Linked DNA regions of Ovis aries. The protein of the gene in region 2 interacts with the protein of the main gene of each other region in a biochemical or structural test. Links are inferred from orthologs where the notes say so. Each region holds a gene or a part of one and is shown on either strand. Other genes may lie near its edges.

The links.
Region 1: the proteins of CRY2 (region 2) and FBXL3 form a complex in vitro, tested with the Homo sapiens proteins (2 studies listed by BioGRID, with this or other methods). The link is inferred for Ovis aries from reciprocal best matches to the Homo sapiens genes CRY2 and FBXL3.

The regions. Positions count from the first base shown.
Region 1 is NC_056063.1:52,742,259-52,758,072, reverse strand, and holds the start of FBXL3 (F-box/LRR-repeat protein 3), read left to right. Parts: upstream 1-8,049; 5' UTR 8,050-8,386; exon of another isoform or gene 8,387-8,435; intron 8,436-14,507; 5' UTR 14,508-14,508; coding exon 14,509-14,859; intron 14,860-15,814. UniProt on the Homo sapiens protein: Substrate-recognition component of the SCF(FBXL3) E3 ubiquitin ligase complex involved in circadian rhythm function. Plays a key role in the maintenance of both the speed and the robustness of the circadian clock oscillation.
Region 2 is NC_056068.1:74,813,606-74,828,817, reverse strand, and holds part of CRY2 (cryptochrome-2), read right to left. Parts: intron 9,152-15,212; coding exon 9,043-9,151; intron 6,696-9,042; coding exon 6,553-6,695; intron 5,046-6,552; coding exon 4,861-5,045; intron 3,888-4,860; coding exon 3,799-3,887; intron 1-3,798. UniProt on the Homo sapiens protein: Transcriptional repressor which forms a core component of the circadian clock.

The DNA.
Region 1 (15,814 bases), on a different chromosome or scaffold from region 2:
TAATCCTTCCAGCAGCTCCATTGCTTCCCCCAAAAGAGCTGCTAAGCAGACAACTGAGTAGGTAAAACATTAATCTCATTTCAGCAGATGGTTTTAATCTCATTTCAGCGGCTTAAAGAAGTTAAAGAACTTGCATTCGGTTTCAGCTAGTCTAATACAGATTTGGCTGGACAAAAACCTGAGAGGTGAATCCAGATCTTACTGTTTTGTTATGATTTGTCCAACTCTCTGCGACCCCATGGACTACATACAGCAAGCCAGGCTTGCCTGTTCTCCACTATCTCCCGAGTTTGCTCAAACTTCCTACCCCATCATACTATTACTATAACATTACCAGCTGCTCTGATGAAAAGAAGTAATATGAAGTGGTAACTGGAAACCAGTAAAATGGGCAAGAGTCAAAAGGGAACAAAACAGCCTTTGCCTCCAGGACAGTGCAAGGTAGATCTGGAAGGACCCGGCTCCCATCTCCTTCTGGGATGGGGGGGCAGGGGGCGGGGGCGTGGGGGTGTTGCGGGGGAGGGGCCAACAGCCTGTACCTGCCCCTCCTAGGAGATCTACCGCAGCACAGCATTTGGTCCAAAGCCACCCTCTTCCCCTGCAGCCCTGGCCAGTGAAAGACAGAACATGGCAGGGTACAGGGCCAGGCCATTTCTGCCTAAAGAATCGCTCTTTTCTGGGCCATCTTTTTTTTTTTTTTTTTAATTTATTTGACTGTGCTAGGTCTTTGTTGCAGCACTTGGGCCCTTCGTTGCTGCAAGCAGGCTTTCTCTAGTTGCAGCAAGCCGGGGCTAGTCTCAGGGCAGGTAGGCTCAGTAGCTGTGGCTCATGGGCTTAGTTGCCCCACAGCAGGTGGGATCCTAGTTCCTAGATCAGGGATCGAACCTGTGTCCCCCACACTGGCAGGCGGATTCTTAACCACTGGGCCACCAGGGAAGTCCCTTTCCTGGGGCCATCTGTATACCAGCACTTGGGCTAGCCTAGCGGAGGGAGATTCCTACAGGCCTGCTGCAATCAGAGGCTTTTCCTGCCCCACACTCCTCCCTGTCCTTTCATAGATGCCAACCTGCACGGCAGTCTGAAAGCTCTCCCTGCCCCCTCGGGCTCCCCCACCCGTTGGTCTGTCATAGGCAGCCCCCAACACAGATTCTTTGCCCTTCTAACGTTATCCTGGCATCCGCCTCCTAGAGGACTTCGCTGACTGACACAGAAGGATAACATATTTTAAATGACTTATGGCTGCTTCACTTCACAAGCGACATAAGGTAACTTAGAAAAAAAAATACATAGACTATAACAGAGATACTGGGTGGAGTTACACTGAAGACAGATTATGAAAGAAAATCAAAGCCAAGATTAGAGGAGAGTATGCAGTAAGTAACCATGCAGTCTCCCAACACGGCTTGAGAGGAGGCCATCAACTGCACAGTACATTTGTTAGCTAACGAAGCATGAAAAGAAACATGTCCAGTCACTACTTACAATGTCCATTTCCTCAAAAAGAGCAGGGATGGATAAGTTTTGACAAGCATAAGTGAACAAGGCATTTCAGGGAGAGAGTGTGGTGACAGCTATGGCGTTGATGTGTTCCTTGAGGAGGAAGTAAGCTGTTTTGCTTCATTATGTCATTTAATAAATAGCTGAGCACCTGTTCTATATCCACACTTGACAGGACATGCTCACGAGGCTGTGTTCCCACTTGCTTGGTAACCGTGACTTACACGTAGAGAGTGCCTGGGAAGTGAAATGTACAAGTTAGTTAATACGTGCGGCGCTGGGCCAGCTCCTAAGGATGAGACAGTTGCGGAAGTGAAATGTACAAGTTAGTTAATACGTGCAGCGCTGGGCCAGCTCCTACGGACAAGACAGTTGCAGAACAAAAATAGAGAACATGTGAGTAGCACAACATTATGAACGGTAATCAAAGTTTGCTAATAATAAAAGAGAGCATTTGTTGAAGGCTTACAGTGGCCAGTCACTGTGCAGTGCTTGAGTGTCGTGCACAGAATCTGCTTCAGCTTTGTCGCTCAGTTGTGTCCGACTCTGTCAAAGCTCAGGGCTGCTGGTATGATCTGGATCCTCTGGTTCATATCAAACTCACCTATGAAAGCCCTCTTGTCCCTCTCTGATTCACCTCTTAGAATTCTTCCTCCCCTGCAATGTAGATCTTCCCATCTACTCCCCAGGACAGGTTTATTATACGTGCAACATGGCTGAAGTCCAGCTTGCTACACCGAAGTCCTGTCCTGTCATGCTCTTTCACTCTTTGAAGAAATATATATTGAGCAAGGAACTCTTCCAGGAGCCTAGGATCTGCAAGTCAGCCAGACTAAGACTCACGGTGTTTATTATATCTGAGTGGGATGTTACACAACAGACGCGCAAAATATAATTTGCCAGGAGGTGATATGTGCTGTGAAAGAGGCAAAGGAGGTCAAGGGGGCTCCAGAGTTGTTTTCACTGTTTCATCCTAGTTTTATTTATTTTTTTGGTTTTGGGAGTTCATTGTTGAATTTGATTAACTAATATTTCTTTCTGAATTTTTGTACTTATAAGAGAAATGGTGCTTCAGTTTTCCTTTCTTTGGGAATCATGAATATACTAGCTTCATAAAATGACCTGGGCAGCTTTTCCTCTTTATGCTTTTTTCTCAGACAACTTGCAGCAGGACTAACTCTTACTTGGAAGTCTGGCAGGGCTCACATGTAATTCCATCTGTGTGTGTTTGTGTGCTCAGTTGTTCAGTTCTGTCTGACTCTTTGTGACCCCATGGACTGGAGCCTGCTAGGCCCCTCTGTCCGTGGGATTTCCCAGGCAAGAATACTGGAATCTAGTTATTTGGAAGGAAAGGGCTTTGCTAATTACATCAATGTTTATTGATCTATTCAAGTTCTCTACTTCTTCCTGTCAATTTTGGCATTTTATATTTTTCTAGACTTTGTTTCAGCTAGGCTTTCTATTTTATTAGCTAATAATTATTTACAACATACTTTATTATTTTGAATACCTATAGTGGCTACATTCGGAGAAGACAATGTCACCCCACTCCAGTACTCTTGCCTGGAAAATCCCATGGATGGAGGAGCCTGGAAGGCTGCAGTCCATGGGGTCGCTGAGGGTCAAACACAACTGAGTGACTTCACTTTCACTTTTCACTTTCATGCACTGGAGAAGGAAATGGCAACCCACTCCAGTGTTCTTGCCTAGAGAATCCCAGGGACAGCGGAGCCTGGTGGGCTGCTGTCTATGGGGTCACACAGAGTCGGACACGACTGAAGTGACTTAGCAGCAGTAGCAGTAGCAGTAGCAGTGGCTACATTAATATGTGTTCCCCCTTTAAAAAATCCTGTATTTTGCTAATTTGCAACATTTTCTTAATCAGTCTGACTAGAGTTGTATCTACCTTATTAACTTTTATTTGCATGCTTCCTTGTCCTCCACCAGCTCCTGGAGTTTGCTCAAACTCATGTCCATTGAGTCGGTGGTGCCATCCAACTATCTCATCCTCTGTCATCCCTTTCTCCTCCGGCCCTCAATCTTTCCCAGCATCTGGATCTTTTTCAATGAGTCGGTTCTTCACATCAGGTGGCCAAAGTATTGAAGCTACAGCTTTAGCATCAGTCCTTCCAGTTGAGTATTCAGGGTTGATTTCCTTTAGGATTGACTCGCTTGATCTCTTTGCAGTCCAAGGGATTTTCAAGTCTTCTCCAGCACCACAGTTCAAAAGCATCAATTCTTCAGCACTCAGCTTTCTTTATGGTCCAACTTTCAGATCTGTACATGACTACTGGAAAAGCTACAGCTTTGATTACAGGGATCTTTGTCAGCAAAATAATGATTCTGCTTTTTAATATGCCGTCTAGGTTTGTCACAGCTTTTCTTCCTTATTTTTTCCCTGTCTTGTCTTTATTATTTATTTCTCTTCCAGTTATCTACTACAGTATGACGAACCACTCATTACTTTCTGATTGAAACAGTTGTTTATTATTGTCTGTTGGCGTTCGCTAAGCGTTGCCCTGATCTTGGGTGGCCTTGGCCTGCAGCAGCTTGGAGTGGGACCTGGGTTCTTAGCCAGGGATTGAGGTCGGGTCATGGTGGTGAAAGCAGCAGGGCCTAGCCACTAGGCCAGTGGTCAGTGACAAGGGCTCTGACCCTTTGGCTTTGCAGAAAAGAATTTCCACAAAGACGGAAAGTAGTGAAGCAAGTATACAGTACATGGGGATAGGCACATGGGCAGACTCAGAGGGAGAGTCCCTGAACTGCGCCCTTGTGGCAGATTGAATCACTTTTACAGGGTATTTCTTCCTGGCTTCCTTTGGCCAGTCATTTTGATTTACCGGGTTCACAGTCCATATTTAGTGTATCTCAGGATCCTCCCACATGAGCACGGGCATCTTTTAGCTAAACTAGATTCTACCAAAGAGGCTGTGGGAGCCTGGCATTAGTGAGCACCACTGCTCTTTGGCCTCCAAGGAGTCTTTCTGTGCATGTATGGTCCGGGAGGTCTCCTTACTTCGGAAAGGAGAAGTATGTGGTCTGAGCAGGGCCCAGCCTCCTCCCTTAATTGCCCTGCTGTTCTTGTCTTGGAGTTTCAGTCGATAGAGAATGAATCTCCAATTGCTTTATCCTGGGGAGTCCCATCTTCCTCCGGCCTCAGCCCCATGAAGCTTTGTTCTCTCCCATTTTGGTGGCTAGTTCTAGCACACTGACCAAAGAATAAGCATTGACTTGGAGATATTGATTTTGAAGACAGATTTGAGGCAATTAGAAAGGCTTCAGTACAGAAAAATAAAAATAAAATAGAGGGAAAGTTAGGAAATAGAGAGAGATGAGAGGCAAACCTCCATGCAGACATATCCCAAATAATATATGTAGATAGTCTCACCTCAGGAGATGGAACATAACTTTCTCCAACCTTTTAGTGTGAGGTGAATGCAGAGACTTCCTCCCAAAAAGGATAGTCTGGAAAGGGAGAAAAAAAAAATTTACATTTCTTGACTTAAAAAAAAGCACAATGGGAAAGTTGCAAGTTAAGCTTCATTTGGGGGAAAATGAGGACTGCAGCCTAGGAGACAACACCTCAGATAGCTCTGAGAAACTGCTCCAAAGAGGAGAAGGTCAGTATATATGTGATTTTGGTGAAGGGAGAGTACATGCAATCAAGCACGTATTTTTTCCAGAAGGTTCCTGCTAGTCTGGTGAAGCTTTCTGCTGGTCACAAGGAGCAGCCATCACCATGAAAAATTTTAGTGCTGTTCTAGACAAGAGGGGGCTTCCCAGATGACTCCCGTGGTAAAGAATCTGCCTGCCAGTGCAGAAGATACAAGAACTGTAGGTTTGATCCCTGGGTCGGGAAGATCCCCTGGAGGCGGGCATGGCATCCCACTCCAGTATTCTTGCCTGGAGTATCCCATGGACAGAGGAGCCTGGCAGGCTACAGTCCATAGGGTATCAAAGAGTCAGACATGACTGAAGTGACTTCACACGCATGTATATTAGATATAAGGAGGTATAAGAATTGGGCTCATAAAATCAGTTCCTGAAAATATCCGAAGACCTGTTATGCCAGATTTTCCCCAGAGCACAGAGTGCCTCATTTCTGTTCTCCACCCTGACTCATTTCAGAGGGTCTTGAAAATCAGCAGCTGCAGCAGCACATGATTTAATCCTGGTAGAGACAGATGGCAAGTGCCAGTTTGTAGTTGATCTCAAACTCTGATGAATGTTAGCCTCAATAGAGAGAAATCCTTTGAGAGTATGTATCCTTGATATGATACGATGACAGTGATACTTTATTCATGTGTGTCCTTCCTCTGAAATACTCATAACCTCAGTCTGACCATGAATGAGAAAACAAGAGGCAGACCCCAGTTGAGGAACATTCTACAAAAGTCTGGAACAGTGCTCCTAAAAACTGTGAAGGTCATCGAAACAAAGAATTATGAGATGGTATTGAAAGAACTACTCAACATAACCTAACCTAACCTGATCATCCCAGCAGATGGGTTACACTATCTGCAGAGAATTTAAAAACAATAATAAATCTGACTCTTTGTTGGTTTGTTTTTTATTACCGCTTGTACCAACAATCCTAAACTGGGTTGGTAACAAAATATTCTTCCTTGCTGGACCAGATTACTCAACAGCCACCCTCTCCCTTCCCCAGACAGTGTCACCGATCTTGAAAAACAGAACTGAAAATTTTAAGTATTGACTAATTTTGTATCTATTTATGGCTATGCTGGGTCTTCCTTGTACGCAGGATTTTCTCTAGTAGTAGCAAGTGAGGGCCCCCTCTAGCTGTGGTGTGAGGGCCTCTTATTGCGGTGGTTTCTCTTGTGGAACACAGGCTCTCAGGCGCACCCCTGGTTTCAGAAGTTGGAGACTAGAGCACAGGCTCAATACCTGTGGCACAAGGGCTTAGCTGCTCTGCAGCACGTGGGATCTTCCCAGAACAGGGCTTGTACCTGTGTTTCCCGCAATGGCAGCAAGATTCTTCACCACTGAGGCACCAGGGAAGCCCTCGACTAGTTTTAAAATAAGCACAAGTTGCTTTTTGCAAAAAGGGAAAATAAAATTTTTAAATAACAGTAACAGGGAAGGAAAGGAAGCATTAGATATTGGTAAAGTGAGCCAAGGTCCCACCCTTGTCTTTAGGGAGAGAAGAGACTGTCTTGAGGCTTTAAAAGGGGGCTACAATTGGAGTATGAACGTTTTAATGAGATACAGTGTTTACTAGTTATGTTGACTGGTTTAATGTGTTTTGCTGATCGTTTATTCTGTTAAAGTAAGTTTAAATAAATATGTCTGTATTTGACTTGTGTTTCTTCTTGTAACTATTATCATTGCCCTTCTTCCTCTTGTCCTTCCTCATCCAGTCAAGGAGGAACCTAAAAAGCGTTGCAGTGCAGGTCCAGACACATTATTTTGTTGCTAGACTTTGTTCCCTTTGACTGTTGATCTGATGGCCAGGCCTTAACAGAAAAACAGTGGCATTTTCCCACAATGACTCTCACCATACTTTTACCCACGCCTTCCTAGCTCAAGTTTAGGGGGAGTAGAAGAGTGCTGGGATGCCTGGTTTTCACTGTCTTCTAGTCTCTTACACACCGGGCAGATCTTTGACAAGACATCTATGATGAAAAATTATTTTTGAGGGGAATGGGGATGGTGCATGATTCAAGTTAGATTTTGCACCTAAGGATAGTTTAAGAAAACCCAGTATCCCCAAATCCAAACTTTGAAAACAAGCTAACCAGGTAGCAGTTACACACAAAGATGCCTCTACTTACAAAAGCCTTCACCGGAGTTTTCTTTTATCCGCCATCGACTCCCTTACACTATTCTTACTGTGTTTCAGAAAGCTATTTACAAAGCAATTTACAAAGGAGTCTGTCTACTTTATAAAGGCGATTTTTAAAATATCACCCGTCATCCCAGCGTTAACAGTGTCACCATTCTGCTTTAATGCCCCGCCATGTAACACCTTATGTATACAAGATGCATATTATCGTAGTATGCCAAGGATGGTCTATTTGGTGTGTATTGTTACAAGCTGTGTTTTACCTCCTCCCGTGACGTGAGCGGGCGTGGCCATCGGAGGCCCAGCCTCCCACGCGGAGGTGTGTCCGCTGCCGCAGCTAGTTTACAGGTCGGCCAGAACCAGCTGCAGCCCGCCCCAGGGACTCTACTTTCTTGTAGCTGCTCCGCCTCCCTAAACTTTCCACTTTGCACCGCAGTCTGTTAGGCATCTAGCTGGCTCCAGCCCCCCTCACGTTCGGCTTCAAGACGCAAAAACAAAACAAAACAAAACAAAACAAAAAACCTACAAGCCGCAGTCACGTTTCGGGGAGGAAGGCTGCCGACACTCCCCGGGGAACCAGGAGACCGAGCCCCCAGCCGTGCGGGACGGAGCGCGCTCCCGCGTGGGTGCGGCCCCTTCGGGTTCCCCGGCTCATCCTCCTGGAACTCGCCGCGGAGCACGCGCGCCCGCCCCCCTAGGCGGGGACGCGCCGCCGGGAGAAGCGCGCGGCCGCGAGCCCGGGCGCCATTTTGGTTTCTGTCTCTGGGCCGCGGCGCCGAGAACCTACGCGGTGGCTGCAGCTCCCTGCAGCCGTCCCTCTCCCGGCGACGAAGGAACCCAGGAGAAGGACACGGATGGCGCGAGACTGAGGAGGGCGGCTTCTCTCCGGGCAGCCAGAGCCGCAAAGGTGGAGCCGCGTTGGCGTCCCCCAGGCGACCAGCGCTTCGGATGCGGGCGGAGCGCGGGGGGCCGCGGCGGCGGGAGCGCGAGGCGCGGGGCCCGCGGGGCCTCATGTGAGAGCCGCGGGACCAGCCGCCCCCGGAGTCCGGGGTGGAGCGTGGGGGAAGCCGCCCGCGGCAGCAGGTAACGCGGAGGGCCGGGGCCGGAGCCTCGCGGCGGCGGCGGGAGCCGGGTAGGGTCGCGGAGGTGGGCGGGCCGGGGGCGGAGGGGGCCACGGGGACCCGAGAGTGCGCGGGCCGCCCCTCGAGAGTGCGGGGCGGGACGGGGCGCTGGAGCCCGTTTGGGGGCGTTGCCCTGCGAACCTGCTTCAAAACATGTCAACAAGGCGTGGTGCGCGCGCGGCGCCCGGCGGCAGCCTCCGCGCGACGCCACCGCCGCCGCCGCCGCCGCCGCGCCCCGGGCTCGCCGCGCCTGGCGCCCGGCTTTGTGACTCGGCGGGGCCTGGTGACCGACACCCTAGAGCTCGCGCTCGGCCTGGCTTTGAGAGATGAGAGACATTAAGATGCCAAAACAGACCGCCCGGGGTAGGGCGGCAGACAAGTCTGGGAAAGCCAATTCGAGGAGGTGGCGCGGGAGGAGGGCAAACCTCGGACGCGCGTAGCCAAGTGGAAAAGTTGGTCAACTTGGAATGAGCAGCTTTGCCCCTGCTTTGAGCGAGAGTAGCTCTTTTAGATGAAGTTGCAGACAGGGATCAGGAAAAAGCCTATTAAGTGATTGGCCTGCATCACCGTGCTTAGAGATAAGCAGTTATTTTGTTGCTGAACGTGTCAAGTATCTCTCAGATCTTTCAGAATCTTTTTTTTCTTCTCCTGAAATCTTTATAAAAATGCCATCAACTCCCAGTATCTACAAATGATCGGTGAACCAATTTTCACCACCCCACTCTCTAATACCATCTAGTTCTGAGAGTCAGACTATTTGCACCCATTTGGTCTTTGTATTCCAGCCGAAGAATGCATGGCAATTATTAGCCAAAAGCAGAGCATAAATGGAAAGGAAATGTGATGCCAAAACAGGCTTTTTAGAGCTGAATACAAATGAGCTTTTAAAATTACTATGATCGCAGTGTACTAAAAAAACAACGAAGGGCACATAGCCAAGTGTTCTCTTAGGCTCTTCATCTGATGAACAAAGTGACTACTCCTTTCAGAGCGTATGGAAATGTGAAGAGTTAATACCATAATTCTCTGTGCTGCTCGATCAGGGTGGAGTCTTTCGTCATTCGTTTGTTTTTTTGATGCTCCATAGGAGTATCAGTCTCAGCGAATGCTTTTAGTTGAATCGATTTTTGGGAGCCTGGAAAAGTCGCATTTTGAAGTGAACTGCCAGAGTTATGAATTGGCCTAGTTTGGGTGCTCTCCTAAATCTCAGAGAGGTTGATCATCCATCTTCTCTGCACTCAAGTTCTAGTGTGAGAGGGGTTTTCACTTTAACTAAAAGTAAGAAGTCGTCCATTGATGTAAATTCTTTGCAGACTGGTAGATCCTCTAAGTTGTTTAACTTTCTTTATATCAGAGCTTCATGTGTAAATAGATTTAATAAAATACTTTTGAAGGCAGTGCAAATTTTTGCATGAATTGTCTTGGAAAAGATTTGACATTAACATTTTTTCCTAGGTGCCCACTATGATCTGATGTTTTTACACATAAATGAGGGTAATACAGAGACATTTGTATTGGCATTTGGTTTTAATTTTTTTTTGTTGTTGCTTTATATACTGTAATTCTGACATACTACAGCAGTCAAATGTGACAGTTTAAAGACTTCAGTTCAGCTAGTTAGAGACTGTTGTTTAGTTGCTAAGTCATGTCCTGCTCTTGCGACGCAGTGAACTGCAGGCTCTGTCCATGGGATTTCCCAGGCGAGAATACTGGAGTGGGTTGCCATCTCCTTTGCCAGGGTATCTTCCTGACCAGGGATTGACCCCACATCTCCTGCAGTGGCAGGTGGATTTTTTTTTTTTTTACCACTGAGCCACCAGGGAAGCCCTCTTTTTAATATGTCAGCTTTTTTTCTGTACTCCATTTGGAAAGATATTGAAATGTACTTCTATTTAAACCAAGGATGCAGTAGACAAAAGAAAGTATGTTGTTAGAACCAGCAATGTATTAGCAGAGATAATTGTGTAAATAAGGTCGTCGTTTTGTTTATGTATCTGTATGAATCGTTCCATCTTTAAATTGAATAGTTCTGGTTTTAGAAGACTTTTCTCCAGGAATAGAAGATCAACAGTCTGTAGTGAGCGGTAGAAATTATAAAAATAACTTCATTCTTTTTTGAATCTCAGTATCTCAAAATGCTGAGTAGTTTTAGGTAGTCAGAAGAGAAATTATAAACCCTGGGTAGCAAACTCTTTGTTCTTTGACCCAAATTTTGTATGCTAAAATTAAAGTACGCCTTCAGGATAAGTTAAAGCAGAAAAATGGGTCATAATGACAGTGTTATCTCAGCCTTTAGTGAGACATTATTCCTAGGAGAGTATTTTTTGTTTTAATACTAAAGATGACATTATAGACTATACATCTTTTCTCTAAACATATTTGAAAAACGTATTCTTTGTTTCGCATGTAAGTTTTAGTCTTCCATAAAACTAGCCTCTTGCTATCATCTCTCATTGTTTTCCCTTTCTCTCCCTCTGCGTAGGGGAATATGCATCATTTACTTCACTTAATGTATAGTTGGAAGTAGGAGTAATGAGGAATAGGCAGTTTATTGCGCATGTCCTTAGACCTCCTGGACTGATCTTAATGGCATGAGAGCCAGGGTCCTCTGCTTCCAGTCCTTCAGAGTTAGCTACTGGAAAGAAAGAGTCTGCACAGACGTATTTGGTTGAGAGCCATGCATGCTGTGTGTTTGTTCCACACAGGAATCAGAATTCTGATGTACTGATGTGCCAGGAGAAGGGAGTTGGAGCTACAAGCCATCCTGTGTGAAAAAGCTGTGACTCTAAATCCAAACTGTACCTGCCAGAAACTGCTCTCTAGAGACAAAAGAATCGCAGGCTCTGAACTAAATAGAGGTACCAGTGAGTGGACTGCAGTTGCCCTCATTTAGTTAGAGCCTTCAGTACTTAAATTTCCAGATAAAACAAGACCTTTTATCTGATTGCAGTGTAATTCATTGACATTAACAGGCATGTGTAAAGTTTAACAAAGCATATTGCAAAAAAAAATCATTATTTAATCCCACCACAGTTGTTATACCACAATTATGAATATAATATTATACAGTCCCACTCTTACAGTTACTATATTAATGTGGTAATCTATTTCCAGTGTGTTTTTCTCATACATGACCTTGTAGTCTCACACATTCTCATATATACTTCATGTTAAAATAAATTTAGGATCATTGTTTGCCTTCTGGCTGGAACCTCTGTTTCTACTTTAATGTTCTTAATACAAGACTACTTTCCTATACCTGAGTTCAGCAGCCATTGATGTCTCCTTTCAAAAGCCCTGCTGCTGCTGCTGCTTCTAAGTCACTTCAGTCGTGTCTGACTCTGTGCGATCCCATAGATGGCAGCCCACCAGGCTCCCCTGTCCTTGGGATTCTCCAGGCAAGAACACTGGAGTGGGTTGCCATTTCCTTCAGTTCAGTTCAGTCGCGTCTGACTCTTCGTGACCCCCATGAATCGCAGCATGCCAGGCCTCCCTGTCCATCACCAACTCCCGGAGTTCACTCAGACTCACATCCATCGAGTCAGTGATGCCATAATTCCTCACAAGATCCCAGTGTGTTTCTGTTATCCCCATTTTACAGATTGAAGCCCAGGAAGGTCAAGTAATTTGTTAATAGCCACATAAGCAGTGAGAGGGAGAGCCAGTGAGCTACTGGCTCAAACTACTATTTTACGCCATTCACTGGTGGCTCAGATGGTTAAGAATCCGTCCACAATGCGGGAGACCCCGCTTCGATCCCTGGGTTGGGAAGATCCCCTGGAGAAGGAAATGGCAACCCACTCCAGTATTCTTGCCTGTAAATTCCATTCCTGTTTTACAACACCACCAGATCCAAATGGAATGAAGGCAGTACCAATACATAGAATAAACACTCACTTGTCATTCAGAAATACAACTTGGATAAAACATTGCAACAACTAGTGAAGTGTTGGAAGAAGCAGCCACATTCCAGAGCAAACTATGCACAGAGATGAGGTTGCTCGTTTTAGGCAAAGATTGGGTCTGGTAGTAACACACATGGCAGGCTACTCACTGTGGAAAGATCTGTCAATGACTTCATTCAGATGCTCTCTGAACGTTCCTGTGGCTCCGTCTGCCGTGAATTCAGAAACTCAGATATAGTAGGTATCCTTTGATGACTTTCAAGAAATCTTGAGGAGATGTCCCTGTAAGTTCTCTTTTGTATTTCTGAATAGTTGACTGCCAGGGTCCAGCCCCGGTGGATCCAGGGAATTCGAAGGGTAGACGGCGTTGGCGAGGAAAGACTTATTGATTGATTGATATAAGATTGGATTAAGAAACAATAGTGTAGTAGGAAAATTAAGTGGAGAAAGAGGGCTGAATAACTTGGATTACGCAGAAGACCAATAAAATCCCAGACAAGGAATTTGCACCATCTACATTGGGCCACCGGTGCTCGCTTGAATATCTAAGGGTGCCTCGCCTTAGGCTCCCTTTCACGCAGGTCTTAACAGCCAGGGGAAGTAAGTAGACTTGGCGAGCCTCCGTGCCCCAGATGGGAATTCAGCCTGAAATTATAGAGGAGAGGGAGGGAAAGGGAGAAAAGGAGAGAGAGAGAGAGACACACACACACACACACAACACAAAGTTAGACAGGAATTCAGCCTGAAATTATAGAGGAGAGGGAGGGAAAGGGAGAAAAGGAGAGAGAGAGAGAGAGAGAGAGACACACACACACACACACACACACACACACACACACACACACACACACACACACACACACACACACACACACACACACACACACACACACACACACACACACACACACACACACACACACACACGGGAAACCAGTCCAGTGACTAGCTCCGTCCTCTGTTGTTCAGAAGGCCTTTTATACTTTTGATAAAACATGGAGATCAGTGGGTAACACAAAGTTAGACAGCGTTAGCAGCCCAGACTCTTATCAAAACCAGGCTTTTCTCTCTGCATACCTAATTGTATACACAAGTCTTAGGTAATTTACATCATCTTCCAGCCAAAAGGGCCAATTAACATTTTACAGCCTTTTTTCTGATAAGGGTTTGTCAACCAGAAGACTTATTTGTGTTGATCTTCCCAAAGTCTGGTGCCAGTCTCAGAAAGCACTAAATAAAGTTACATTCTTACATAGCAAGGACACAAGAGGAGTGCAGTGATATATAACAGAGAGAAAAGTAATTATCTCAAAAGTCTAGTGTTGCTAACATCAAAACTACTATATATCTTTTCCATATCCCATTTACATTGATTAACATCCTCCCAGGTGCCTAAAAGATAAAGAATGTGGAGGCCTGGCAGCAGTCATTGAGTCAACAGTGAAAACCCTCTACCAATATGATTTTTAACTCTTTAGGAAAGGCTCTGTATCTTTAAGACGCTTTTAAGCTTTGTGCCTCTCGCGGTTGGGGGGCTGGAAGCAATTCACAAGCTGTAAAAGGTCCAAGGAACCTGTTAGGCAAGCTAGAGAGTTATCAGAGGGGGTTTAACTGAAACATCCCTTTCAAATGCAGAAGACTAAAGCCATGAATTGACTTTTTTCCAGAAAATATCAGAAAAGTGGAAAAGCAGAGTACAAAAGCCGGCAGATTTTTTTTTGGGGGGTACATGCTCAGGAAATTCCAGGGGGACCCCTGAAGTCTGATCACGACCTTGCGTATGTCAGCTTCCTTCCTCATGACCTTGTCACAGGCTGGATTCCTCACACTGGCTTCCTGCAGTAGACTACAACTTTGGAAATATAAATGCATGGTTTGGTTTCAAAGCTATGATAAACTTCTTCCCCACATAGTACAGTGCAAATACACATGCTTAAAAGCACCTGCCAAAGGTGTAAGGTTGTGAAATAGCAGTTGGTCTCTACTGGTGTTTTTTTTTTTATTATTATATTTTGCTTTGACGTTCTCCCTGAATGTCTGGTCCAGTTCTCCTGCGCGTTTATGTTTTTATTTATAGGCACGTGTACAGAAATCTCGGTGATAGAAGAATGAATTTTGGATTTATGTCTGTTGAAAAGTTAAGTACAAAAAAAGAATGATGAATTTTTTTCTGAATAGGATGAAACGAGGAGGAGGAAGAGATAGTGGCCATGATTCATCAGAAGAAGGTATTGCCGAGAAATCCAAGAGACTGCGGACTGCAAGTGAGCATTCTCAGACTTGTGATTGGGGTAATCTCCTTCAGGACATTGTTCTCCAAGTATTTAAGTATCTGCCTCTTCTTGACCGGGCTCATGCTTCACAAGTTTGCCGCAACTGGAACCAGGTATTTCACATGCCTGACTTGTGGAGATGTTTTGAATTTGAACTGAATCAGCCAGCTACATCTTATTTAAAAGCTACACATCCAGAGCTGATCAAACAGATTATTAAAAGACATTCAAATCATCTACAATACGTCAGCTTCAAGGTAATACTTTAAATCATTCTTTTTAAAAATAAAGTGTATTTAGTGGCTTTTGTGGGGCCTTCCCAGGTGGCGCGAGTGGTAAAGAACCCACCTGCCAATGCCGGAGACAGACTCAGGTTTGATCCCTGGGTTGGGAAGATCCCCTGGAGGAGGGCATGGCAACACAGTCCAGTATTCTTGCCTGGAGAATCCCATGGACAGAGGAGTCTGGAGGGCTCTGGTCCATGGTTTATCAAAGAGTCGGACATGACTGAAGCAACTTAGTATATATGCATGCAGTGGCTTTTGTGTCCTAAACTGATACATTTTCCCTTGTTTTTAAACTATTGCCTTTTTAGGGAAGGTGCTTAAAGATTTAGAGTAACTGTGTACCTTAGAGGCTGTCACAAATAACCGTATTGGGCTAAATTATTCCATTTTATTGTAAATCTTAATCATTATTTTAATAATTTCTTGAAACCAGAAGCAGCCATTAAATAAAGATAAATCATATACTGAAACTGTCACGTTGAATTATTATGGACAAATTTGAGCCCAAAGAAATATATGTTAGAAGTAGAGGTTTTTATTAAAGCTTCATTTTAATAAAATAAAGTCTGAGTTTTGTTTATTGATGGCTTTGTGATAATGGAGTTCCTTAAAGAGAAAGGAGATACAAAAACTATATATTAAAAGTTTAGATGAATGTATTTTAGAGAGAAATAGAAAAAGGTACATGAAAGATGCCAAAGAAAACTATTTCTTTTCTTTGCTAGCAGGGACATACTAGAAGTTAGGCAGTAATGAGATAAGTGAAGTGAGGTTGCTCTTTGAGAGGTTCAGAGTGGTATAAAGAATCACAGTGGTGTATGTGAGCAGGCTTGTCATGTTTTGTTCTGGGGATGAATAATGAAGTGTGGATATGTTCACTAAGTCCTTAACACATCCTGTAATTACTGTTGAAGTAACACATGAA
Region 2 (15,212 bases):
CAGCCAGCCTCACTCTATTTCCTCGAACCCAGCTCCACGTCCCCCTTTACCACTCCCACCAGAGCCTCCATGACGTCCATGCCACTGAATCCTGTGGGCATCTTCTGTCCTTTCGTTTCTGGGCCTCCCAGCCACTCACCCTACTGCCCGCGCCCCTGTCTCCATTCCCACCATTCCGTTGGCTCCTGGTTGCCTCTCAGCTCTCACCTGGCTGGCTACTCATGTTTTACCAGCTCCACCGTGCCTCCCAACCCTGAAGTTTTGGCGTCCCAGGGCTCTGTCCTGGGCCCTCTGCTCCACTGTGCTCCAGCTTGGTTCAGCCAGTCCTGTGGATCCTCTAAGGCTACTTCCTTGCAGACAATCACCACGGCTCTAGCTTGCACCCCGACTATGACCTAGACTCCCAAATCACCCTAGCCAACTCCCTGCCAGAGATCTCCACTGGACTGACTTTCAGGCCTCAAGGGGAGCAGGCTCTTTTCTTTAAACTGCCCTTCCACTGGCATGCCTTATCTCAGAAAGCGCACTGTCATCCACCTCGTTGCCTGAGCCAAAAGCATGGCCGTCACCGTTACCTGCCCTCCCTCAGCAGGTCATGTCAGTCCCACTGTCCAAGTATTTCTTCACCCCGTCCTTTTCCGTCCATCCCCTGTTGCCATTGACCTGGTTTAGGCTAAGACTATCTATACTGGACAACTGTGACAGCCTCCCACCTGCCTCTCTGCATCAGCTCTTGTGCCCTCTAATCCACTGTCTACACCGGGAGCAGAGTGGTTCTTTAAAATGCCTGTCCCTGAGGGCAACATCTGCACCAGGCTTCCTGGTATTCTCAGGCTAGAGTTCCAAATCCTAAACAAGGCTCACAAGCACCCTGCAGTCTGCTGAGGGCCCATGTTTCTAGCTTCCTCCCTTGCCACATGCTCTTGCTAGCCTTTGCACATGCAGCTCCCTTTCCTTGGTTAATTTTGACTCTTCCTTCAAGCCTCAGCCTCAAAGCCACCTTCCCGGCAGGTGATCCTCAGGTATTGGTTAAGTACCTCTAACAGACCCAAGGTATATTTGCCTGCTCACATCCTTGCCCACCATTCTTTGAAAATCTTTTTAAGTGAAACATAGATACAAAAGCACACTGATGGGTGGCTTAATGGATTATTCTAAGGAAAATGCCTCTGCAACCACCACCAAAGTTCAAGAATCAGCACCTTGCCGGCCACCCCAGAAGCCCACCTACGTGCTCCGCCAGTCAGGTTCCTTCCCTGCTCCATCAATAACCACCGGCCCAACTCTGTCAATAATCAGGTCCCAGCATTTTAAAATGTTAACATTCTTCTGTTTTTCCAAAGCACATTTGGGAGGGAGGGCTTTACCTTTTCAGTCATTCCTTGCATTTTTAAAGTGTTTTCTATTCTTTTTTTCATCCAAATGTACATCCGTAGGCACATTTTGCTTAGTCTTGGTCATGTAAGAGAGTTCAACGTGTTATTTATTCTATTCTATGCATTTCTTGCCATTTCCTTCTTTTCCTTTTAGATTTCTTATAAAGGAACTCAAGATCTTTGACTTGCACTAGTCCCACAATCTGGATTCCCCTGTGTTCTTACGGGTGCAGTTCAGCACACTCCTCTGGCCTGTGTGCCGCTTGCAAACTGGTGGCTGGTACCAGAGACTGGCGTGGACTCAGGTTTCCTGTCTTTGGCGAGACTACAGGGGAAACATGCCTGACAGTCACTATCCTTGGTGTTAGCAGTCATTAGTGAATCACCAGGGGCTGTAAGATTCCTCTGTTCCTTTTTCATTTAATAACTGGGACACTTTTGTGGAGAGATGCTTGCCTTCAGCTACTACTGGGTAACCCACTGGTAAAGATCATATTGTTTGGCCCCCTATTTCTGGTAACAGCACTTAATGTTCTTGTGGTGACCCACCCCTTCCCTAATCTCAGTTCAACTGGGTAAAGTAGAGCTAAGGCCACCTTGGACTCTGGGAGCGGGCTCACTCCCAGATTCAAGTCTGAACAGGTAAGGGGGCACCCTCTTCCCTGGCCTTAGTGACAGTCAGGGACAGTCACATGACCCAAGCCAGACCAAGGAAAACACTTCTTGGGACTTTTTCTGAAGCTTTTGGAAACTTTCTCAGGTAGTACTAAGCACACTGAAAATAAGCCTCTGGTGACGAGCCTTGCCACCACTCAAGGAAATCCTGCCTGAGAATGAAACAATACACAGAAAGGCAGTACTGAGATAGAGAATGCATTCCAAGTAGCATTAGCTGGACACCTGGGTCCAGCTATGCCTGAAGGCTACATCCTGGGACTCTTGGGTATATGAGTTAAGAAAAATTCCTTTTTCAAAAGCCATCTTGCAAACAAGAACTGATCAATATAGTCAGTCCTCTTGCTCTCCCACTTTCACCACCCTCTGAACCACTCCCTTCCTCACCCTGAATGGACTTTACTTCCCTGTTTCACGTCTGTCATCGCTATAGACTATGTTTTAAACTCTATGTCTGTCGTGCTGGGAAGGCTTTCTAGTAGCTAGACTGTCCTGACCTAAGAAAATGCTCACTTCAGTTTTGGAGAAGTGAAGTTGAAATAAACCTCCTGAAACGGTTTAAACTCCTGTCCATCAGGCACCTTGTGTTCTCCCAGATATGTAAAATACAGTATTCCCCAAGATCATCTTTGAGTCTAAAGGGCTCTGACATAGGCTCCCCTTTCTGCCCCCTCGGCCCAGCCTTTGTCTCCAGACTGACTACAAGGATGTCTGCATAAAGCTAATGTGGGCAAAGACGGCTGGTTCCCTCACAGATCTTGGACATCAATGTTCCTCCTTTTAAATGGCTGGGGCTTGCTTTCGGCCCTGTCTGATGGTAAGATCCAAATGGGGACCTCAAGGCCACTGCGCCTTGGGGAGACTAGGCCCATGACCCGCCTTCACTGCTGGTGAGGTACTTCCTGGGCTGGGGAGCACTCTTCCCAAGTGGGCTGTCTTAGCCTCCTTCCTGCACTGTTATCACCTGGCTGCTGGGCCAAATGCCCACTACCTGAGCAGGAATAGAACACGCTGTGATTCTAGGGACCCAGTCTATAAACCAGCTGCAGGGGGGCAGGAAACAGGAGTGACTGTTCTTGAGAACAGTCTCTGCTCCTGTAGTCCCAGGAGGTGTAGGTGGGAGGGACGTTGTGAGGGCCTCCTCTGGGGCCTCTCAGCCTCTTTCTTACCTCTGAGCAATTCCCGCTTCACTGGGGGGTGGGCCATTCGCTCTGCGCTGAGCAAATGGAAATCAGTGCCTCGGAGGAGACTCAGCCAAAGCGAGCAGGGGTGGGGAACACGGAAACACAAAATAATCTTCTACACTTTACTACCAGATATCCTCTGAGTAAGAGAACATCTGACCTCTTACCCACTGACCTCTTAGGAAGGGGACACACCAATGAAAAAAAAGGCAATCTAGCCCAAGTTTTAGAACCGAGTAGAACAAGGTCTCACTCTGCTACTTAGAAACTGTGTGACCTCAGGCAAGGCTTGACTTCCTCACTGGTAAAATGGAGAGCTTAGTATCCACCTTGCAGAGCAGATGGGAAAATGAAAGGGAACAGCACAAGCAGGTGCTAGACCTAGAAACGCTCAGCCCCGTGACCAGCCCATGGGATAAGCACTCACTTATGGCAGCTGCTCTTACTGCTGTTACCAACCAGCCTGAGTTAAGAGGCACTCAGGGACATGAACCTGGCTCCATCCCCCTGGCTGCACGGGGGTGTCAGCATCTGAAGCCCTGTCTCGGCATCGGGGGCCATACCTTCCGTTCCAGGTGCTTATCCAGGCGGGCCAGTGCTTCCGTCTCTCCTCCCCGCCAGACCGCTGGGCCGAGCCCTTCAGTGGGGAATCCTACAGAGGGGTAGCAGGGCCACAGGACTGGGGGTCAGGTCAGTCTGGTGATGGTGCAGCAAGTTCTCACATGCGGCTCTGTTCTCTGAGCTCCGTGCGAGCTGAACTATGGTGTTCTTGGTGCTAAGAGAACTAACGCCAAGCGAAGTGAAGTCCCTCAGTCGTGTCTAACTCTTTGGGACCCCATGGACTGTAGCCTACCTCCTTCCATGGGATTTTCCAGGCAAGAGTACTGGAGTGTGTTGCCATTTCCTTCTCCAGAGGATCTTCCCAACCTAGGGATTGAACCTGGGTCTCCCGCATTGTAGGCAGACACTTTACCTACGGTCTGAGCTATCAGGGAAGTCACTGAGATAATCCTTAATGTTTCCTCAGTGATGTTTTCTAAGTCATGCAGGTTTTCTTCCCACTGTGACCTCTTCTCTCCTTTCCCTTGCCTCCCTCATCTCAGCCATGTCTCATCATAGGCAGGTGAGAACAATCTTATATGGCTGGCCCTGGCAGGTTGGCTGGCTACAGCTGTGGTTTTTAGGTGAGAAAGGCTAACTTCATTCAGATCAAAAAAAAATGTGTGATAGGTGGGGAAGGGGAGAAAGGCTGACATAGCCCCTTTCATCAGAAGCAATACCAGTTATGTCGGTATTGAGAAGCCCACTGATGCCAACACCAGGCTATGTCTATATCGTCTGAGAGGTAAAAGTATAAAATTAGTCATGAACTAGAAACAGAAGCTGAACATGTGACTATGAACAGGAAAAAAGACCAGAAGGACTGCTGTAAAATGATCAGTGGTAGGTAACTGTGACAGCTATTTCCACTTTCATCTCTCTGTATTTTCTAAAGTGTCCACAATGACATGCATCACTTTGACAAAAAAAAAAAAGAACAAAAAAAAAAAAGCTGGTTTAAAAAAAAAAAACAACAAAACGAAAAAGGACGTGACAGTGTGAGGGGCTGGGGCAGGAGTACTTACCCAGCTCCTCCAGGGAGGGCACGCCGTAGGTCTCATCGTGGCTCTCCTGGATCTCGGCCTGGCAGCCCTCCATCTGCTGGCTGGTCACGGAGCCCACGGGCTTCCTGGGCAGCTCCATGCGGCTGATGATGGCCTGAAAGCGCTTGTAGGTAAGGGGTGGCTTCTGCCCATTCAGCTCAATGATCCTGGGAATCCCAAAGACGCCTGCCGTCACTCACGAGGCCCTTCATCTCAGGTTCCTGCCCACCCAGAAAAGAGCCCAGACTGTGCAGTCTTGGAGGGTGGCCTTCCTCATCCGCTCTGAGTCCCACCCCTAGGGAGAAAGGAGGGGGCAAGGGAGGCTACGTCTCCATGTTACTGAGAGGGAAATGAAGCCCAGACTGCTGGAGCAGATGCCTCGGGTAATGGAGCAAGTCAGGGCCAAAGCTGGGCCTCAATTCCAGGTTCCCTGGTGCCGGTGTGGAGCCGCCTAAAGACAGAGACTGACCATATCTCTCTTGTCACAGAAAAGTCCCCACTGGCCTTCACGGTCCTTGGCCTGCCTGTCCAAGCCACAGGGCGCCCTGTGGACTGTCTCTACCCCAGCATAAGCCTCCAGGAAGTTCTTTGATAAGAGCTGCAAACGGGTTCCTTGGTTGGAAATTCATTCTCTCCTTGGGCCCTAGTTACTAGAACAGAGAGGAGGGGAACAGCCTGTCCCTCCCTAAATCGGAGGCTCGGGGTTCATAGTCACAACTCAATCTTAAAGGGTTTTTTGCAGTTTACAAAAACACAGCTGCACTCAGATAAGAAGAAAAACTATAGGAGTGTTTAAGAGGCGAATTGAGGCTGTTTATGTAACAATGACTTCGGACGGGCGGGAGCCAGACTCCTGGGGCTCCTGTTGGCCAAGCAGCAGCTGACAGCAAGCCCGGACTTGCCGGCGAGTCCCTCTCTCAGGTCCTCTCTCCTCCCCTCCGTTAGCGGAGGCAGAAGGTTGGCTGCTGCCCGGCAGGGCCTCCCGCCACCGCCTCTTCCGGCACGTGGCGGAAGGAGGCGCTCCACACCCAGCGCCTCCCCCCGGGAGCCCAGCTCACATGCAGAGCTGTGTGACCCAGCCTCCCAGCAGCCACCACCGGTCTGGGGGAGGCGGGCGGGGAGCCGTGGTGGCGACAGCAGCCCAAGAGGGACAGCCCTGGCGGGGAAGGAAGGGGAGGAGGGGGTTTCCTCCTGGCCTCTTTGAAAGCACAGGGCCCCGCAGCGATCTCTCAAGCCTCCGGGGCAACATCTAAATGCGAGACCTGGAAACCCAAGAGCCAGGGGAGCCCAGGGAACGCAGCTGGGGAACAGAAGCTGCGCCTGCGAGACCAGAGATCCACTGGGAGGGGCCACAGACAGGGCCCCACTGGGGTCAGAGGGCAGTTTCGGAGCAGCAGGATGGAAGCAGGAGTATGTGGGGTGGGTGGGCCTGGAGCGTGTGAGGAGCTATGGACACCCTGCTTGCGTCTCTCGGGCCTAATGAGCCTCTCTGCACCCAAATCGGGTAAGCTCTACGGGCCCCCACTCTGACCTGTTCTCCCCCGGCTCCGAGAAAACGCCAGGCCCCATATGGCAGGGGGCCCTACTGCTAAACCTCTCTGAGTTCTGCTCAGCAGGGCCCCAAATCACCAACTCCCACAACGGGCGAGCTGAGCCCTGGGACCCGTCTCTTACTTGTCCAGGTCATAGAGAGTATGCGAGTTCTCGGTGACCACCTCCACACCAGCCTCCTTGGCCATCTTCATGATGGCTGCGTCCCGTTCTTTCCCAAAGGGTTCAGAGTCATACTCAAAGGTCAGGCGGGTCACCCCCCATTCCTGTGGGGGAAAGAATCTGTAATGCTCACCACTGCTGGGGAGAAGGAAGCCGGGCGAGCTCCCTGCCGAGAGGAAACCAAGCACGTGGGGAGACCCGTCAGAACAAACTGCGGACAACGACTTGAACCAGAAAGCCAACCATCTGAGGGCCTCGAGGTTTGAGGAGGGCAGGCCCCTGAGGAGAGGCCAACAGCCCTCACCAGTGGAGCCCGAGGCTGGCGGTCCCTGTGGCATGAGAGAGGTGGGCAGCTCTGGGCGCCACCAGTGTCCTTGTGGGAGAAGAATACAGCAGGAGGCTATAAATACACGCTCCCAGGGGAGCCCCCTGTCCCAGAAAGAGGCAGAGGATCGCCACCTCCCGCCTGCTCAGCAGCCTTTCCCAGAGCTCCTGGGGGCCCTGCAAACTTCTGGCCTAGTTTTCTTGGCAGACTTGTGCTACGAGAAGTGTCCTCATGGTTTCCATGGCAACACTCCTGCGGCCAGTAGCAAACAGAGCTAGTAGGCTCCAGCTCTCAGACAGCTGGGAAAGGAGCAGCCGCCCTTGGCCCAGAGGTCAGAGAAATCAGAGCAGAGGGGCCACATATTTTAAAAGAAGGGGATTCTTTTCCAGGTCTTTAGTTATGTCTGGTAGAAATCTCTGTATTTCCTAGCAAACCTGGGAGAAAGCAGCCCCGTGAAAGGCTGCACCCTTTCTGGAGCCCACAGAAAGCCCTAGAGCATGCAGCTAGCAGGAGGGAACCACATTCCAGCCCAGGTCTCTGGCCATGGTCCCTGAAAACCCTGAGCCCTTGGGGCGAGTGTCCTGGCCATGCACACGCCGGTCCAGCCTCAACTCGGCCCTGCTGCCTCTGGGTCCTGTGCAGAGCTGCTTATCTCTCGTCCAAGGTTAAGGTTGGCACTAAACATTTATTGGGTACTTACTAGGAGCTAAGTATTCTGATTAGCAGTTCATACTATTATGAACTATGAATAATAATCAAGGGTTACTATTAGATGACACCTTCTCCAAGAAGCCTCCTTGGCCCTCTTCAGAAAGATTCTCTGGCACCTGCCCGTTTTCCATCACAGCAGTTACCATATGGCAGGGAAGCCACCCACTACTCGCTAGTTTCCTCCACTGGAGTGTGAGTACTGGGAGCAGTGATCGTGTCGCCTCAGTCTTCATCATCCTAGGACCCGGGATGGGGCTGCGCACGTAGCAGAAGCTTAATAATATACAGAGAATGGCGCTCTGTCTGTATCTCTGGGCTATTAGTGGGCTGGCCTCAGAGGTGCTAGGAGGTGGGGCAATGCAGCAGGAGAAGAGAGGCCTGTGTGTTTAATGGTATGGTGGTCACGAACACAGCTCCGGGCTCACAGCCTGGGCTCAGGTCCCAGACTGCTGCTCTGAGCTTCGCAGGCATGGTCAAACTATTGCTTCCCTGTCTGCAGGACAGGGACAGCAGCACCTACCTCTGAGGGCAGCGGCAAGGAGTACAGGCATTAATGTTCATAGAGCACGTACTGAGAACAGCGCTTGACTCACAGTCAGCCCTCAGTGAATGCTGGCTCTTACCAGCACTGTGTGATTTGTGCATGTTTGTCTGTGTGTGGGGGTGTGGGGAGGTGGGGAGGTGAAGTGAATGCCGAAGTATTTACTCAGCTGCCTGCCTCGACATTCAGTCTTTCCTCTTGTCTTTTCCCTCCAGGAAGAACAGGAAAGGAAGCGGGGTGCAGAGAGGCATAGAAACAATTGTGTGCTGATGTCCTAGAGCCCTCTGTTCATGAGCACGTCTGTCTTTTTAAGACCCGTTTGGGTCTTAAAAAATGTGTATTATAAAGGGTTTGTGGGGGAAACTGGGCTGGCTACCTGATACAGCAACCAGAGGCCTATGTGGTACTGAAATGAAGATTCTGTCGATCATTTACAGAGGAGGTAGGGACACTCCCTTAAAGAGGCTGATTTTTTTTTCCCAATAAGAGGAGCAAAGCAAGAGGGGAAATGCCCCTAGACAAACAGGAAACCTCACCCTCAAACTCCTGGTGCAAGAAGAGCCCTAATAAACCTTGCTGGCTTGAACCAGGAAAATAGTTAAGGGAGCCAGGGGTGTCTGGAGTGAAATAAGTCGCTACATCCCATGTCTGAACTGAGCTGGGAACTTTCCAGCAAGACACCAGATTCCCTGATGTTTTCCTTAACACAGTTTCCATTCTGTGGGCAGCTGACCAGCTCCATCCGCTCCCAGCTTCCCTAGCAGCAGTGGTCAGCCCAGCCCTGACTGTCTCCACTTCCTCAGTCAGAACGTCGTTTCATTCAGTCCGCGGGGGGCAGGCGCTCACCGTCTTGTCCCGCACTCTGCGCACGTACCTTGAACAGCCTCGGGAACACGTCAGCCGGCTGGCCCCGGACCACAAAGAGGCGGGAGTTCAGTTTCCTTAAGCTTCTGTCCAAATCTTCCAGAGACTGAAGCAGGAACCTGCAGAAGCCACGGAGTCCTTGTTGGTGGTAACATAACAAACAGCCACTTCTTCCCAACAAAGCGGCGAGAACCTTGTTTATGCCAAACCAGTAGCACAGTTCTCCTGGGTTCTTGTCCAGGCGTGATGTGGTGGGGGGTCAGGGCCACCTCCGCTGAATCCTGCCTTTGCCATTACTAGCTGCGTGGCTTTAGGTAATTACTTAACCCCTTTAGCTTCTTCCCCCCTAATCTGTCATACACAGTTGGTGTTAGTACCCATTGCATAGAACTGTTAAGAAAAGAAAGCCAAATAATGCAGAAGAGCATTCAGTACAGACCCCAGAAGAGAGGAACCTGGGGGAGTGTGAGCTGCTCCTACTCGAGCCATTCCTCGCGATCAGAGGCAAGTTGCTTACTCCCTCTTGGCCTCAGGCCCTGGGTGTAACTATCTGCCCATCACTAGGGGACTGTGAGAACCACAAGGGAGAAGAGATGGGGGAGCCATCTGAGAAGCAAGGGCAGTCCTGTGGTATGTAGGCAGAGGTCCCATCAGCAGAGGAACAAGACTGCAGTTGTCCTGGAAGGTCTCATCCACCCTGGTCCGACAGACTCCCTGTCTTTCCGCACTCACACTCTGGTCTGTGTGGGTGTCTCCTGACACAGCCCTATGGCCTGGGCTGGGTCCCCAGCGTTTCATTTGGCAGGTAGCCCCTTCCTCAGGCCTCTCCAGGGCCCTGGCCATCAAGTTCTCATCCCAAGAGGGAGAAGGTATGTGTCTGGAGGATTCCCTCCCATGCATCCATGGCTATGGGACTCCAGAAACACAAGCCACCTGGCCTGAGGGCTGGATCAACGTGGGACAGGGACAGGAAACGACCATTGCCTGAGAGCTTTCAGGGTCTGTTTACTTTACAGGACCACAAAAATGTATTACCTGCACAGCTAGGCAAAGGAGACAAGGAAAGATATACTCATCTGAATGCAGAGTTCCAAATACTAGTAAGGAGAGATAAGAAAGCCTTCCTCAGTGATCAATGCAAAGAAACAGAGGAAAACAATAGAATGGGAAAGACTAGAGATCTCTTTAAGAAAATGAGAGATACCACAGGAACATTTCATGCAAAGATGGGCTCAATAAAGGACAAAAAAGGTATGGACCTAACAGAAGCAGAAGATATTAAGAAGAGGTGGCAAGAATACACAGAAGAACTGTACAAAAAAGATCTTCACAACCAAGATAATCATGATGGTATGATCACTCACCTAGAGCCAGACATCCTGGAATGTAAAGTCAAGTGGGCCTTGGGAAGCATCACTATGAATAAAGCTACTGAAGGTGATGGAATTCCAGTTGAGCTGTTTCAAATCCTGAAAGATGATGCTATGAAAGTGCTGCACTCAATATGCCAGCAAATTTGGAAAACTCAGTAGTGGCCACAGGACTGGAAAAGGTCAGTTTTCATTCCAATCCCAAAGAAAGGCAATGCCAAAGAATGCTCCAACTACCGCACAATTGCACTCATCTCACATGCTAGCAAAATAATGCTCAAAATTCTCCAAGCCAGGCTTCAACAGTACGTGAACTGTGAACGTCCAGATGTTCAAGTTGGTTTTAGAAAAGGTAGAGGAACCAGAGATCAAACTGCCAACATTCGCTGGATCATGGAAAAAGCCAAGAGAGTTCCAGAAAAACATCTATTTCTGCTTTATTGACTATGCCAAAGCCTTTGACTGTGTGGATCACAATAAACTGTGGAAAATTCTGAAAGAGATGGGAATACCAGACCACCTGACTTGCCTCTTGAGAAATCTGTATGCAGGTCAGGAAGCAACAGTTAGAACTGGACATGGAACAACAGATTTGTTCCCAATGGGAAAAGGAGTACGTCAAGGCTGTATATTGTCACCCTGCTTATTTAACTCATATGCAGAGTACATCATGAGAAATGCTGGGCTAGATGAAGCACAAGCTGGATTCAAGAGAAATATCAATAACTTCAGATATGCAAATGACACCACCCATGGCAGAAAGCAAAGAAGAACTAAAGAGCCTCTTGATGAAAGTGAAAGAGGAGAGTGAAGAAGTTGGCTTAAAGCTCAACATTCAGAAAACGAAGATCATGGCATCCGGTCCCATCACTTCATGGCAAACAGATGGGGAAACAGTGGAAACAGTGACAGACTTTATTTTTGGGGGCTCCAAAATCACTGCAGCCATGAAATTAAAAGACGCTTACTCCTTGGAAGAAAAGTTATGACCAACCTAGACAGCATATTAAAAAGCAGAGACATTATTTTGCCAACAAAGGTCTGTCTAGTCAAGGCTATTGTTTTTCCAGTGGTCATGTATGGATGTGAGAGTTGGACTATAAAGAAAGCTGAGTGCCGAAGAATTGATGCTTTTGGTGGTGTTGGAGAAGGTTCTTGAGAGTCTCTTGGACTGCAAGGAGATCCAACCAGTCCATCCTAAAGGAAATCAGTCCTGAATATTCATTGAAAGGACTGATGTTGAAGTTGAAATTCCAATAGTTTGGCCACCTGATGCAAAGAGCTGACTCATTGGAAAAGACCCTGATGCTGGAAAGATTGAAAGTGGGAGGAGAAGGGGATGACAGAGGATGAGATGGTTGGATGGCATTACTGACTCAATGGACATGAGTTTGAGTAAACTCTGGGAGTTGGTGATGGACAGGCAGGCCTGGCGTGCTGCAGTCCATGGGGTCACAAAGAGTCGGATACGACTGAGTGACTGAACTGAACTGAACAGCTAGGCATGATCATCTTTCTGAGAAATTCATCAATACTTTTTTTGGTGGTGGGGGAGGGGTGCTCACCATGGGGCATATGAGATCTTACTTCTCCGACCAGGGATCAAATCTGTGCCTCCTGCATTGGAAGCATGGAGTCTTACTGCTGGGCCACCAGGTAAGTCCCCATCAATACATTTCATGACCTCTATTTTATCTTTAAATTAACAGTATAAACAGATTAACTATTCATGTGGTTCAAAATTCAAGTTACAAAAGGGTACACAGTAAAAGAAGTCTCCTTCTCCTGCACCCCTGGGAATTTTATGCTCCTCTCTAGAGACAACTAATGTTATCAGTACTATTATATGCCTGAGATGCTAAGCATGTTTTCTTTTGAATTCTCTCAGCACATTTTGAAGAAAAATACTACCCTTTTTTATAGATGAGGAAAATGAGCTAGAGAGGATAATAAATTTGCTGAAGATCACAGTTATTGGGGACAGGTTCCTACCCGACACTGTTGGTCAGACTCAAACCATGTTTTCTTCCTTAAGCCTTCTAGCAGCACATCAGACACTGCTCCAGGGGCTGAGATTCTTGTAAGCTTATGTTATGACGAACACACACCAGACTCCAGGTGATCCACTGACCTGCTCTTCTGCAGGAAAGAGGCCCTGGCAGGTGAGCTTGGTTCACAGCCACCTCCTGCTACCTACCCTGGGGTCTCCCACCCAGCCTCGTCAACAATGGGAGTCACTAGAGTCTACTTTGAGCACAATGAAACCCAGGGGATCCTCCGCCGCACAGCACAGTCCCTTGACTGTGGGAGCCTTACAGAAGCATCGACTGTTCTCAGGCCCCCCTGCCGCCTCTGACGTCTTTGATATGACACTCCCAGGCAGTGAATGCCAGAGATCCACATTCCGGCACAAGATGAGTCCTGGGCTCAGCCGGAAGCATTGTGCTAGCTGAGGAGCAGGCAGGGACTCTCTGAGAGGCTGCAATGGGAGACTGACAGGCTGAAAGCCAGAGCTCCGCCTCTGCGAATTTCTATTTTTGAGCACTGACACCCTTAGAAAAGCAAAGCTGAGACAGTGACGCACTGCACTGCACTCGCGCTGGCCTCCTCTCAGGCCTCACCCTCCTCTCAGGAGAGAAATAAGAGAGATTGCTTCCATGCCACCTGCAGGATGCCTAGGGTAACTGGAGACTTTCAGACTTCACAACCTCTAGACAGAGGCTCCTCCATCTGCGCCTCCCAGAAATGTGCCTGTCTTGCACTTGGGGGCCCGCATCCTTCACAGTCCACTAGGCTGAACAGGACGCTGAAGCTACAAACAGGACTGGCATGCACGTGAAAGCAAGGTTCCAGCTGCCTTCTGTAGACTCTATTTCTAGACCTCATGTATTTATTTGGCTGCAAGGGGTATTAGGTGCCACACCATCTTCACTGCACCGTCTTTTGTTTCAGTGCATGGACCCTCTAGTTGTGGTGTGTGGGCTCCAGAGAGAGCAAGCTCAGTGCTGTAGCCCCTGGACTTCGTTGCTCCATGGCACGTGGGATCTTAGTTCTCCAACGAGGGATTGACTCACCGTGTGTTCTTTGCTCTGCAAGGCGGATTCTTAACCACTGGACCACCGGGGAAGACTCTAGACCTCATTGATCAAAAGGAGAGACTCCTTGCAGCACCTCTGAAGTACAGATGACCCAGTGAGAACCCTTTCTGACAAGAGAAGTCTACAGCCAAGGCAGGCAGCAGAAGGCAGGACTCCGAACTCAGCAACCAAACGATGGTAATAGTAACAGCAGTAACTAACATTTCATGAGCATTTACAGTGAACCAGGTACTATTCTCCCTGGAGGAGGAAATGGCTACCACTCCAGTGTTCTTGCCTGGAGAATTCCATGGACAGAGGAGCCTGGTGGGGTACAGTCCATGCAGTTGCAAAGAGTCAGACAGGACTGAGCACGCACACACAGGTTCTATTCTACCTGCTTTACATACATCACCTCATTTAATTCTCATTTTACAGTTGAGGAAAACTGAGGCACAGAGAGACTAAGTAATCTGTGTAACATCATTCACCTAACGAATAACCAGGATTCAAACCTGGACAGTGTGGCTTGGTGTCTGCATTCGTAACCACCAGGCTCCAATGCCTCTCAACCAGTACTCACCCCCTGAACACTGAGGCCAACACTTTGCTACCAAATCCTTGTTACTCGAGGGGGATCAAAACAGTTGTGAGTCACCCAGAAGCTTGCCAAAATGCAGGACCTCAGGCTCCCTCCGAGACCTCCAGAAACAGAATATGCATTTGTAGCAAGCTCCCCTGGTGACTGCTTTGCACATTAACGTTTCTAGCTTCTATTGACAAGCTGCCTGCCTTGACTTCTAGTTTGTTTTCACTTAAGTTCCTCTCTTTGAGATCCTGGTTTTGGCCCTCTAGAAATGCTATTACTTCCAACTCCCCTAACCCCCAGTCAAGCCCTGCAGAGGGCTTCTCCAGAAAGGGAGGTCTCACGATGACCTCCAGGAGCCCCAGATTCCAAGCAGAGAAACTGCAGCCACGGCTAGGGCACCACCCGAGAGGCCTGCCAAGAAGGAATGTGGAGCAGTGCTGCTGCTGGGCAAAAGCGCCCTGGTGTTGGCAGGCACATTCTTTCACCAGAGAGAACCTTGGGCCTTTGTGCTCCCCTAGAGCCCTCCTCTCCATGTGGCCAGTTTCTCTTTACTCCAATGAGGGACGACTCCAGAGAAAACTGGCCTGGGCACTGGAGGTGGCAGTGTTTGGGCAGCAGCTCACCCTTGGCAGCTCCCAGCCGAGCTCACACGGCCGACATTCAGAGCACACAGCCCTGTGTGAGCGGCTCATGCTCACCCTTTGGATCAGACGCCATGTGCAGCTCAGCTGCATTATGTAAGTGCCCTGCAGTCAGAAGCACAGCGGAGGAAACCAACTTGGGATTTCCAAAAATACTAAGAGGACAGTAATTCAGGGACTCCATGGAGCTAGCCTTTCAAAACAAGACTGGCAAATCTTTAGGCAAAGACTTCTCCAGAGACAGCAGATTCTGTATTGAGAAATATTTTTGTTTATTTGTTATTAATAGGAGGAAGGAAAATGATAGTGAACTCTTTTTTGGGGTCCAGATCGCCCTTGACCAAGTCTTCCCTGTTTCAATCCAAGGTTATTTAACTGTAATGATGATACTGTTGGCTGGCCCAAACTGGCTGCATATGGCATTAATAGAAATTAACTTCTCCTAAGGGCTGCCCGGGTGATGCGGTGGTGAAGAAGCTGCTGCCAGTGCAGGAGACACAAGA